Linked DNA regions of Coturnix japonica. The protein of the gene in region 1 purifies or fractionates together with the protein of each later gene. This does not show direct contact. Links are inferred from orthologs where the notes say so. Each region holds a gene or a part of one and is shown in the gene's direction. Other genes may lie near its edges. The genes, in order: SSB, RO60 and LARP7.

Region 1 (4,160 bases):
AGAACGGAGAATGGAGTGCGGCGCGGTGGTGATGAACGGGTGCATCTATGTGACAGGAGGATATTCCTATTCCAAAGGAACGTATCTGCAGAGTATTGAGAAATACAACCCTGAACTAAACACGTGGGAAGCAGTAGGCAACCTTCCCAGTGCCATGCGTTCACATGGCTGCGTCTGTGTGTATAATGTGTAGGCATGACATTTTCATAGTGCTGACAAAGGAAACATGCAGTATTCCTAATGGTACTGATTACCTCATGAATGAGATGCCTAATACAATCTCCTAGTGCACATTCATTAAGGACTGTTCAATTTGTTTTAAACAATTCAGAAAGGTAAATAAGGAAAAAAAATATTTTCATATGTTTTCTCTGTCATGGAAACTTTCAAATGACTCTAATAATACTTTCTGTAACTGTATCTGACTGTGAAAAACAGATTTATTTTCACCAGTCACTGGGTAGAATTTTAACTTGGTGCTAAGTTAAACCTTTTTGCCTTTCTGTGGAGAAGCGGGCCTAGGATGTAATCTTTGATATGCTGAAGACAGCTGTAGGAATGGTTCATTGCCACAGATCTGGTGTGTGGGACATACACAGTGATATCACTTACACATAGTGATACCGCATCCAGGAACTGCAGGCAGCTGCAGGGCATCTCTAAATCCACCCTCAGATGGCAGAGTGAAGAAGAGAACACACAGAGAAAGGGGAAAGAAATATCACCTGGTAGCCCAGTTATGCAAACAGAAACTGTATGCTGGCTTCATGGCGTTGTAGTGGGATTTTGGACTGATTTGTTGATGTTGAGCTGTTGTTGATGGCTATTTATTTGGAGAAAAGCCTTACTATGATAACTGTTACATTTAACATGTGGAATGGAAGGTGGAGCAGGACTGAGTGGACCAGAGCCTCCCCGCTGCTGTGGGGCTGCATGCGGTCTGACAGGAGCAATCCTAACACACAGCGCGGCTGAATGCGTTAAACAGAGTGTAAAAGTTGAAGGTCCTTATTGCTCCTGGTGCTATTTTCTGTACGGTAACCTGCGCTGCTCAGCCCGCGATCCCGTTTTATTGACGAGCTGAACGCAGGCGGCGATCTTTATATTGTGCCTTTTCCCGGAATGAACGGCACATAAGCCGAATCGATGAACACTCTACGATGTATTAAAGCTTTTCTTAACGTGACACCCGTATTTATAGCACCGTTAGCATCTCCAACGTAATCGCTAATATCCGTAACACCCACTGACCGCCAACGCCCCGACGCCGTTTCCGGCAGCGGCCCCGCCCCGGAAGAGGCGCCCACGTGAGAGCTGCGGTGTCTGCTGGGCACGCGGCGCGTCCTGCAGCCTTTGGAGCCTTTGGAGCGGAGCCGCGCGGTCTGAGCCGGGCCGGGCGGTGCAGGTGGGTGTGCGGGCGGCGCGGCGGGTGGCGCCGGGCGGGGACGGCTCCGGGCGGGCGGCGGGGGCTGCGCGAGGGGAGCGGGGCCGCAGGTTGTTCCGGGCCGCGCTTCCCGCGCTGCTCGCTGCCTGTCCGTCCGGGAAGGAGGCCGGAACGCGCGGCCGGGCGGAGGGTGTCGCTGCCTGCGGCCGCCGTGCAGGATGCGGGGCAGCGCTTCCCGCGGAGGTGGCTGCGCGCTGCGCGATGCTTCTCGGCGTCCCGCGCCGCGCCCCTGCGTGCCCGCGGGTGGCGGCACGTGGCGGACGGCGCTGCCGTGGTGCCCCGCGGAACTGCAGCTGCGGAGCCGCCCGGGGCTGAACTGGCGGCGGGGAGCGGCTCGGGAGCGATCCGGCGGCTCGTCGTGCAGCGCTGCTTCTCGCATCGGAGTGTTCGGCACGAGGAATTCGTTCTTACCTCGCGCCCGTTGTGCTCTTGTGCGCTATTGCGGCAGTCCATGTGTGCGGGGTGTGGAGCGGCCTCCGGCGCTGCCCGGCTCGGCGCTGTCGTCCTGGATGCCGGGCCCAGGAGAACTTTCCTGGTTGTAAGGGTTCATCTCGGGGACTTGCCGTAGGCCTCCTTTGCTTTAGACTTCCTTACGGAATGCTTTTCCGACTTGAAGCGCTATCTACGAAGTAGGATTTGCTCTGCCCCTCTCAGCAGCGCAGCGGGGCCTCTGCAAGGCGCGCTGCGGGCGCTGTGTTCCCGGAGGGGCCCCGTAAGGGTGAGGGCCTGCTTTTCCACAACGCTGCACGTCACTTCTACCGCAGTGTTTCTTAATGGCCCCTGCGGTACCCAGTGGTAAATACAGCAGTGTCTGCGTTGATCGGATGAGGGTGTTTCTTGGGGGGTTACAAGAGCCAGGCTGCCCCCAACAGACTGGAGTTGTCTCTGAATGACAAAACCAAAGCATAACCGCTGGTTTCGCTGAGTGCTTCTCCTGTCACCCTATCACCTCAGATGCTGCCTCTGCTCACTCTTCACCTGGGCAGCACTGCTGAGGACTGAGCATCCTAAAGGAGCCCCAGGCTTATTTTAACAGTAAGAAGAGTGAGTACCATTTGGTACCACAGAACAAAACAAGAGCAGCCGAAGGGGCATGGTGGTACAGTCTGGCTGCATCCCACCCCAGAGAGTTCATAGCAGCTGCCTCTTGCCTGGCCCTTTTCTGCTGCCTTGCTGGACTCTGCTGGCTGTGAGGTGGTGGGGCACGGTTCCTGTCCTCAGTTCAGTGCAGCTGCACGTTGTACTTTTGTGCTGGGCTTCTTTAAAAACATACATTATTAAAATCCATCTTTTTAAAAATTTCTTTTCCCCTCAGAATATGCAAGACAGCAACATTTTCCACAGCTCCTAATAAGCTAGTATGTTGTCTTAAATAATTGAGCTACACTGTGAAAAGTACCTATAGGACAGTGGTTCGCTTAGAAGATTGAGAAGCGCTTAACAAAATCTGCCATGCTCTGAGAAGAGCCATAGCAATGTCACCTTGCCCAGACAGAAAGGTTTTCAAGGTCTCTTGTTCTCCCAGCTGTACCATCTACATCACTGTGTCTCCAAGACTCTGAAACAAGTTAGTGATAAAATGAATCAAGTGGAACAGTTCTTCAGTAGGTTGGCTTTCCCTGGATAAGGTGCTGCAGAGGCACACAGTGTGTGGTTAATTACTTGATCCAGGGGAAAAAGCTGAGACTATTCTGTAGGCTGACAATAATTTCAACAAAATTAGGTAACATCAAACATTTTTTTAGTGAGTCAGGTGCCAGGGACAACAGCATGGGGGAGTGTAGTGATGATGGCAGCACCTGAGTCCTCACTGAACTGATGGCGTTGCTGGAATCAGGATGGCTGTGTAGGGACATCTCTGAAGTGACTGCAACTGTAAGCTGGTAGGCTGTGGCCCAAGTTTCTGCAAAGTGCTTTATAGACAAATGAACTGTTTTACCTGTTCGTTAATTGTTCTAGTTTCCACTTGGAATTTCTGCAGTCACATTTAGAGCTGATTCACCAAAATAAAGGTGGCTTGTAGGGGCTGCAATTAAATGCAGCACTACAAGAAAGCTCTGTAGAAGTTGGTAATTAGTATTTAGTGACTGTGCTCTGATTTCAACACAGCTGGTGAAAATGGCTGAAAATGGAGATGGTGAAAACATGTCTATCTTGGAAAGCAAAATCTGCCAGCAAATTGAGGTAAGTTCAATTTATCATTTGGGACCTGAACTGAGATGTAGTTTTTGGAGACCTTAATTGGTAGGGACTTGGCTAATGTGAAGTTGTGCATCAGTAAACAATTTGTTACTGTTTGTCAGAGTTATTCTTTGCATGCAAATAGAAAAATGCATTTTAATTCAGTATGGCTTAATTTCTGGGGGAAAAATCCTGTCTGGGAATCTGTGCTGTTCAAAATATTAGCATGCTGCATAATTTGCTACTATAATCTACTTTTGGAAGTGTTACGTTGAAGCAAGAAGTAATAATATGAGAATTCCAATGAAAATAACAACTAGAATTTTGAACATTTCCATCCACTGCTGTCATCTGCCAAATGGAAAAGAGCTTTTAAAGTCTGAACATTCCAAAACAAGTCTGTCTTTTTATTTTTATTTTTTTGCAGTACTATTTTGGCAATCACAACCTACCAAGGGACAAGTTCCTAAAGGAACAGATCAAATTAGATGATGGTTGGGTGCCTTTGGAAGTAATGATCAAATTCAACAGGTAA
Region 2 (3,649 bases), on another chromosome or scaffold:
AGTCAGAAAGCTTTTGTAGCAGTTTTAAATAACATTACTGTTCTTTCAACAGACCTCTTGGGAGCACAAACAATGGCGGATGAGGCAGACCAAGCTCAACCCCCAAATGAAATGCAGGTGCCAGACTCTGACAGCAATGATGCGTGGGACGTCACTGACATGAATCGACTGCACCGCTTCTTGTGCTTTGGTTCAGAAGGCGGTACTTACTGTGTCAAGGAGCAGAGGCTGGGCTTTGAAAATGCAGCAGCTTTAATGAGACTGATTGAAGAAGGCAGAGGGTGTGAAGTTGTTCAGGAAATAAAGACATTCAGTCAAGAAGGCAGAACAGCCAAACAGGAGCCCCTGCTTTTTGCACTTGCAGTTTGTTCACAGTGTTCTGATGCAAAAACAAAACAAGCAGCATTTAAAGCTGTTCCTGTGGTGTGTTGTGTACCAACTCATCTCTTTTCTTTCATCCAATTTAAAAAAGATTTGAAGGAGGGCATGAAGTGTGGCATATGGGGCCGGGCACTGAGAAGAGCTGTGGCAGATTGGTACAATGGAAAGAATGGCATGGCTGTTGCATTAGCAGTTACAAAATATAAACAAAGAAATGGTTGGTCTCATAAAGATCTTCTGAGGTTGTCCCACCTGAAACCTGCCAGTGAAGGTAATACGTTTTCATCCACCTGAAAATACTTTATTTTAAACCTGTAATATTAACAGTGGAATGTTTTTTGCAAACACAAATACCTGTGTTATCCCTCTTAGGGGCTGAGTTCATGTCTGGTGTACGCGGCCAATAGTAACATTTAGTTGGAGTTCATGTAAAGGTCTCTGTTTCAGTTCTGCACAGTCAGGTGTTAGGCTATCCTTTGCAAAGCAAGCACACACCTGACTAGAAGTGTGGTTGGTTGTAGGTAGCTGATTACAGAATTGCTTCTCTTTACAGTTTCTAATTGGTTATTTTGTTTCATCTTTAAAACATACGTATTAAAGGGCTCAAAGATGGTACATCTGGGAAGGAGAAGCTGCTGTCATTTCCTATCTCATTTCCATACAGGGGTGTATGATCTTTAATGTATTAGTAACCCCTAATAAGCCTAGGGCTCCCTCATTGGGCATTTTTCTTTCTTTTTTGTTGATATTAGCTTGTTACCATGTACTTGCTTGTAGTCAGATTGTTTATGACTTCATTTGTTTTTCACATACTTATAGTAAACTGTTTATACTTCCTTGACCTTCGTTGTCTATGCCAGTGTGATGATGATTTTGTAGTGTTTGTTTGTATCATGTAAATTACATTGTAAAGGTGTGAGGGATCATGTCAGAAATGTAACTGTTTGTCTTCAAGGTTAAAAGGGTTTATTCCTTGTTTTACTTATTATGTCAAGAGAAGTTAAAATAATATAGTACTTTCAGTTTGTTCCTGTCTGCTTACAAATGCTGAGATAACACTTGTTCATTAATTGGGAAGAGTGATGGTTTAGAATCTGTTAGGCTCTTTACTGCCAAGGAGAATAACACAGTAAACAAAACAGCTGTTTTAAATTGTATGGAGCTGATCCTTCTTAGAACTGATCATCGGATCTGGGAAGTTGCAGTTCTTTTCTTTGTTACTTCATTTGGTTTTTCACAAAAATAACCTGCTAACTTGTTTGTTTGCTGGAGTGATGAATGGCAGTATTAAGACTGTAACCCTGTTTGGAAAATATTTTCCTTCTCTATAGGAGTAGCCATCGTCACTAAGTACATCACCAAAGGGTGGAAAGAAGTCCAAGAAGCTTACAAAGACAAAGCAGTTTCTGCTGAGACTGAAAAGCTTTTAAAATACTTGGAGGCTGTGGACAGAGTGAAACACACGAAAGATGAATTGGAGGTTATTCATTTAATAGAGGAATATGGTCTCGTTAGGGAACATCTATTGACAAACCATCTGAAATCTAAAGAGGTAGGTAAACTTGAGGAGCTTTGTATTCTTTTTAGAGTAACACTTAATATTTTAAGTTAAGATTTCTGCTTAAAAATAAGCCTATGCTAAATAAGCCTCTGCTTTTTTTTTTCCAAGTTATTTACACATGTAGATAATTGTAATACAAGCCTTCATGTAACTTGCACATTTATTTTAAAATACACTTAGTAAACACACAGGTGTCATTTCTTGTACTTGGGAATCTCATCTTGTTTTTCTTGTTCTTTGTTTGGAGGTGTGGAAGGCGTTGCTGAAAGACATGCCCATTTCTGTTTTGTTGAGGAATTTAGGAAAGATGACTGCAAATTCAGTCCTTGAGCCACGGGGTTCAGAAGTGGCAACAGTGTGTGAACGACTGCGAAATGAGAAACTGCTAAAAAAGGTAAAAATTAACACATGATTAAACTCATAATCATTGCCAACCTTTGACTCTCAACCTCTTCCAAAACTGTTTCTTTACCTAAAGTCTTTATGAAATGAAGGAGAGAGTCTTTGTAAGAAATCTGTAGCTTATTCTTTTAATAAACTTTAGAGCTGTTTTACAGATGAAGGGTACTGACAACTAGTATAGTGAATTAAGGCCGTGGCAAGCTTTGCCTAGTGGGTTCATCCACTCTTCATAAGTCTTGTAACTTAGAGTCAGCTTTACAGTCCTAATAAGTGAAGGGAAGGCTCTTTCATGGGACCCCAGGAAGTGAATGAAGTGTAATTAGCTTAGCCTCTGATAGGAAAAAAGTGATAGAACAGGGAGACTTTCTCCTTTCAGGATGATTTACTGTCCATTATACCATATGAGGAATGGTAGGGTTCTCCAAAGGAGGGGAAGAAATCCGTAGGTATTTAGTGGGATATAGAGAAGATCAGTGACTTTCTGTTGGTTTTTTTTGAGTTAGTTGGTTAGTGGAATTGAGAACAAGTTCCATTTTTTGTTTCCTCTCTCACTGCTCTTTGCTTTCTGTTGTTTCTTCTTTCATTCTATGTCATTACTGACACATGGGAGAAAGGTGTGCGAAGGTGGTAGCGTAACACCTTGATAGAAGGCATTCAGATTTCCTACCATTTGCTAACATGACTTGAACATCGCCAAGAGAAAAGAAACAACAAAATGTTCATAAATCAGCAGAGTGAAGTTGTGATTTTTAAAATATGCAGCAGCCACTACATAAACTGTTCAAAAGCAATTGAAGCAAAGTGGATTTTGATTTACAGTCATCTTAGTTTGTGCTGCTTTTTAATGTGTTATTAAGTTCAGGCTTCTGAAAACTTACTTTATTACTTTGCCTGTAGGGTAGAATACATCCATTCCACGTATTGGTTGCATTAGAAACATATAAATCCGGACATGGAAGCAGAGGGAAGTTTTGGTGGCGTCCTGATGAAGACATCTTAGAAGCTTTAGATGCTTCATTCTACAAAAGTTTTGAGGTAATGTAATGCTTCTATTTACTAGGCTTAAGTCTTTTTTTTCTTTTTCTGGAAGCCTATAAAAATATATCTTAGTGTTTCCTGAGTGGGTAAGAGTATTCCAACTTGATAACAAAAGTCTTAATGATTTTATTAAATGGAGGGAGGTGAAAAAACGACTTAGCTTTTGGTAATGCTATTGTCCTGAAAAAATAAACAAGATGCATCTAGATGGAAAGCAGAAGGAAGAACAAATTTATAACCCATCTGTACATGTTTTCATTTTTCTTT
Region 3 (3,649 bases), on another chromosome or scaffold:
TTCTTGGATCTACTAGTATATTTTTCTGAAATGGAATTGTTTCCTCCCATCCCCACCTCAGGATCCTCTTTCCTTTCCCATTTAGTGAATTGAATTGAATTCAATTGAAATTGAATTGAACTTCGATAACAGACTTGTCGTTTATTTTAAATCACTATAGATTCAGGATTTGGTTATTAACTGTGATGAATAGAAGAAAAAATATTCTAGGGTGCTTGTGAAGCTACGATTTTTTTTTCTTTTATGTTATTACATTAGAGAGGAATCTGGATCCACGATTTTAAAATATGTTCCTTTTTCATTTCTGTGTACATCACGTTGCTTCTGTGCTTTTGTAGATTTTGGCTTGCCAAACTGATAAATGTGAAATTTCTTCTCTCCTTTTTTCCAATCCATCAGCCACCAGTGAAGATGGTGCCCCTCCTGTCAAGGCTAACACAATGGGGCCCCAGTTTGTGAGTGGAGTAATTGTGAAGATCATTAGCACTGAGCCCCTGCCGGGCAGGAAGCAGATCAAGGTAATGCCTTTGTAACCTCAGGGTAGCTGTTAGCCTTTCCTCTTACAGTGCCACCCAAATGTTTGAATATGGAATACGATTTAAACAAATTTTAACGATATTTTTTTGTTTGTTTGTTTGATTACCTGTAGCTGTGTTCGGATTCCTCTCTAGTACCTGTTAATGGAAGAATTTAGGATGGCAAAATAGGGTGAAGAGAATGTTTCAAACAAGATGTAGCCTTTTGAGTGCTTCAACCAAGGCTGAAAATAATGGCAGAAATAAATAATGCTCTGGAGGATGAGTAATTGTCACCTCTACCTCCAGCCCTTCTTGTTCTGTCTTTTCATTTGCTGTGTGAAAAATGTGGTTAATGTTATACTGCTAAAAGTAAATCACTGCTGAGACCAATCTTCCGTTTCAGGAATAGGAGTTTGATGTTGTTGGGTGCACCTTTTTCTGTATGTAATTGTGCCACTAGTTTTGGTACAAATCAAATGAAGGAATCCATAGTGGTAAATTGTTTTTGCTTCGGTATGTGGTGATTTGTTGTTTTAGTTAGTTAGTTTGTTTTTAACAACAGGAATTTGGGGTTAAGAAAACATATTGTATGAGAAAGTTGTCATTTGGTTTTAACTCATGTTAGAATAAATGTGCAGACCACTTATAATGGGAATGGATCTAAACACAAGTTCTGAGGTAGCTTACCATACTACTTAGATATCTAACTGTACATTGTTGGGAGCTTTCTACTTGCAAGTGTGTGAAGTTGAATGTATGCATAAATACTAGCAAGGTTTGAAGGGTATTTTTCACTGAAAAGGAATTGATGATACATGAGGTTTCACCTTAATCAGTCTTGTCTGCCTTGGTATTTGTAGGCAGTCGTCTGAGTACTGGAGGCACTGAGAATGTGGTAGTTGTCACTGTAACGTTTAAGGCCAGTTCAGTTTGACTGCAAAGTACATTTTATGTAGTTGAGTTTGTGTTGTCACATAACACATTATGCTCAGGTAGGGCAGAGCTCATTTTCAGCTACTGCTGAAATCATAAACTTCCAGTCTGGTATTTCCAAATAAAACAAATTTAGTTTTTTTCTTTAGTTTAAGAAGAACATTTCAGTGAAAGTAAAGACATAACAAGATTGGCATGGCCTTTATTCTTGTTAATAGTTGTTGTGGTTTCCATAATAAGGCAAAATATTATACAGAATATCTCCAAACAAATGAGGAAAGATTTTTAGGAAGAAATACAGTTGTAAAATACATCTGTAGTTGGAACAAACAACAATCCTCAGGATGCTCCAGCTGTTTCTCAGCTTGGCAGAGGGAACTGCAAACTATACTTGACATTCCCTGGCTGACTTGTGGCTATACTAGTTGCTTCTGTGAAATGTTTAACGCTTCAGCAAAAGCCTTTACTTTGTCTGTCCACCAGGTCTGTCATATCTACAGCACTGCTGCCGCCAGACAATGCATTTAGGTTTTTCTTAGTAAATTTCCAGTATTTCTTCTTGCATGACAGGCATGGGGAACTTCTACATACCTGAAAGATCTTTTCAGTGCAATTCTAATGTTATTTTGATATTTTAGTTTTTTGCTGTGCTACTTCCATTTGCTCCCCTGTTTCTCAGGGGAGAGAAACTTATGTGTTGTGTGAGTCTTAATTTAAAAACCAAAACACGATGACTTTGGGTTATCAGAATGAACAGTAGTTTTGATTCTCAAAGGATCTCAACAATTTTGGTGCTTAGTTTTGTTTTGCTTAAGGTTGTGCTTTGTAGTGGATGGGGTTAAAAGCAAGTAATTCTTGAACAGTAGCGGCTTGAGCTGCCTGCTGTGAACAAAATGGACTAGGAATGTGTGGTTTTAGTTAATTTCCCTAACAGCAGGTATTACAAGTGAAGTACTTCATCTGAAAGAGCATGTGTGACTCTTCCTCCTTCAGCTGTTAGTGAAAATTTTCAGGCAGAGATCACTTCATAAAGATAGGAAGGACTGTTTTGTTGTTTTGTTTTGTGTTTTTTTTTACTTTTTAGATTATCTGCCTTAAAGGAACCTGTGTGTGTGGATTTCATATGTAGGAAGACCCTGAATATTTTTCTATTGGAATGACGCTTTTCAGTGTTACAACACTTATTATTTTCTTTTGAAGGAATGTTAGTACAGATATAGTTATTGTCCGTTTTGTTTCAAAACTAGTGTTCCATTAGTCAAAATTGTTCTTAGGAAAAAGAAATATCTGTAGGAATTACTGCTTAAAATAGTTCTTGGGAGCACAATGAGAGGTTAATAGCTGTCTTAAAGTTATGGGCTCATCTTATGAAAATATATTGACTCAAAATTATTAGACAAGTGATTCAAAAATTGTTACTACTTTCTACTCCATAACCTTCTATGAAAAATGAGTGCTGTTCTACAAATTGTGTGGTCAAAATAGCCACTCTTCTGTACTCTGAAGTCTGTGTTCTCACACACCCTGATAGGATGCTTTGGCAATGCTGGCTGATGTTGCTTATGTTGACATGCTAGAAGGAGACACAGAATGCCATGTCCGTTTTAATACTCCTGAGGATGCACAGACAGTCATGAAGTCTCACAAAGACCTACAGATAAAAAACAACTGGAAATATGAAATTCTTACTGGTAAGTCTTGGTGCTTATTTGTTGTTTTGTGTGGTATTTTTGTTTGTTACCAGTTTTTTTTATTAGTGGAAGGAGACAAATGTATATCTTTACAGCTACAGTGGCTGACTATAGGTCATATCTTTTATGTATATCATGTAGTATTGTAATAGCTTTATGGATAAAAATTTAAGTGTCTTTGTAGCTGTTGAGCAGACTTCTTATTATTATATATTGTATATTTATTTCCTATAAGTCTTAACTTTTGACTGTAATGGAATTAGTAAAATAGTGAGTGTTCTTAAGCCACTGTATAGAGTGAAATAGTTGCTTTACTTGCTCTGATCAATTTAATTCTCTTCTTTTGAGACTGGTTTCATCACTACCCTAGATCTAGACTATAGAACTTAAGGCACATTTTGGCCTTAGGACTATAACATTCTGATAACTGGCAAGAATTTAAAATGAAAGATACCAAACTCTCAGCAAGGTTATGCTTTAACACCTACCTTCCAGTTAATCTATTTA

The links.
Region 2: the proteins of SSB (region 1) and RO60 purify together in Homo sapiens (affinity purification with mass spectrometry; 3 studies listed by BioGRID and IntAct, with this or other methods). This does not show direct contact. The link is inferred for Coturnix japonica from reciprocal best matches to the Homo sapiens genes SSB and RO60.
Region 3: the proteins of SSB (region 1) and LARP7 purify together in Homo sapiens (affinity purification with mass spectrometry; 4 studies listed by BioGRID and IntAct, with this or other methods). This does not show direct contact. The link is inferred for Coturnix japonica from reciprocal best matches to the Homo sapiens genes SSB and LARP7.

What each region holds. Positions count from the first base shown.
Region 1 is NC_029522.1:16,280,052-16,284,211, forward strand, and holds the start of SSB (lupus La protein), read left to right. Parts: upstream 1-1,294; 5' UTR 1,295-1,405; intron 1,406-3,553; 5' UTR 3,554-3,562; coding exon 3,563-3,628; intron 3,629-4,052; coding exon 4,053-4,156; intron 4,157-4,160. Other genes in the region: KLHL23 (kelch-like protein 23), read left to right, coding at 1-193. UniProt on the Homo sapiens protein: Binds to the 3' poly(U) terminus of nascent RNA polymerase III transcripts, protecting them from exonuclease digestion and facilitating their folding and maturation.
Region 2 is NC_029523.1:3,395,360-3,399,008, reverse strand, and holds part of RO60 (60 kDa SS-A/Ro ribonucleoprotein), read left to right. Parts: intron 1-52; coding exon 53-652; intron 653-1,712; coding exon 1,713-1,933; intron 1,934-2,189; coding exon 2,190-2,336; intron 2,337-3,241; coding exon 3,242-3,379; intron 3,380-3,649. UniProt on the Homo sapiens protein: RNA-binding protein that binds to misfolded non-coding RNAs, pre-5S rRNA, and several small cytoplasmic RNA molecules known as Y RNAs.
Region 3 is NC_029519.1:51,156,747-51,160,395, reverse strand, and holds part of LARP7 (la-related protein 7), read left to right. Parts: intron 1-399; coding exon 400-518; intron 519-2,982; coding exon 2,983-3,142; intron 3,143-3,649. UniProt on the Homo sapiens protein: RNA-binding protein that specifically binds distinct small nuclear RNA (snRNAs) and regulates their processing and function.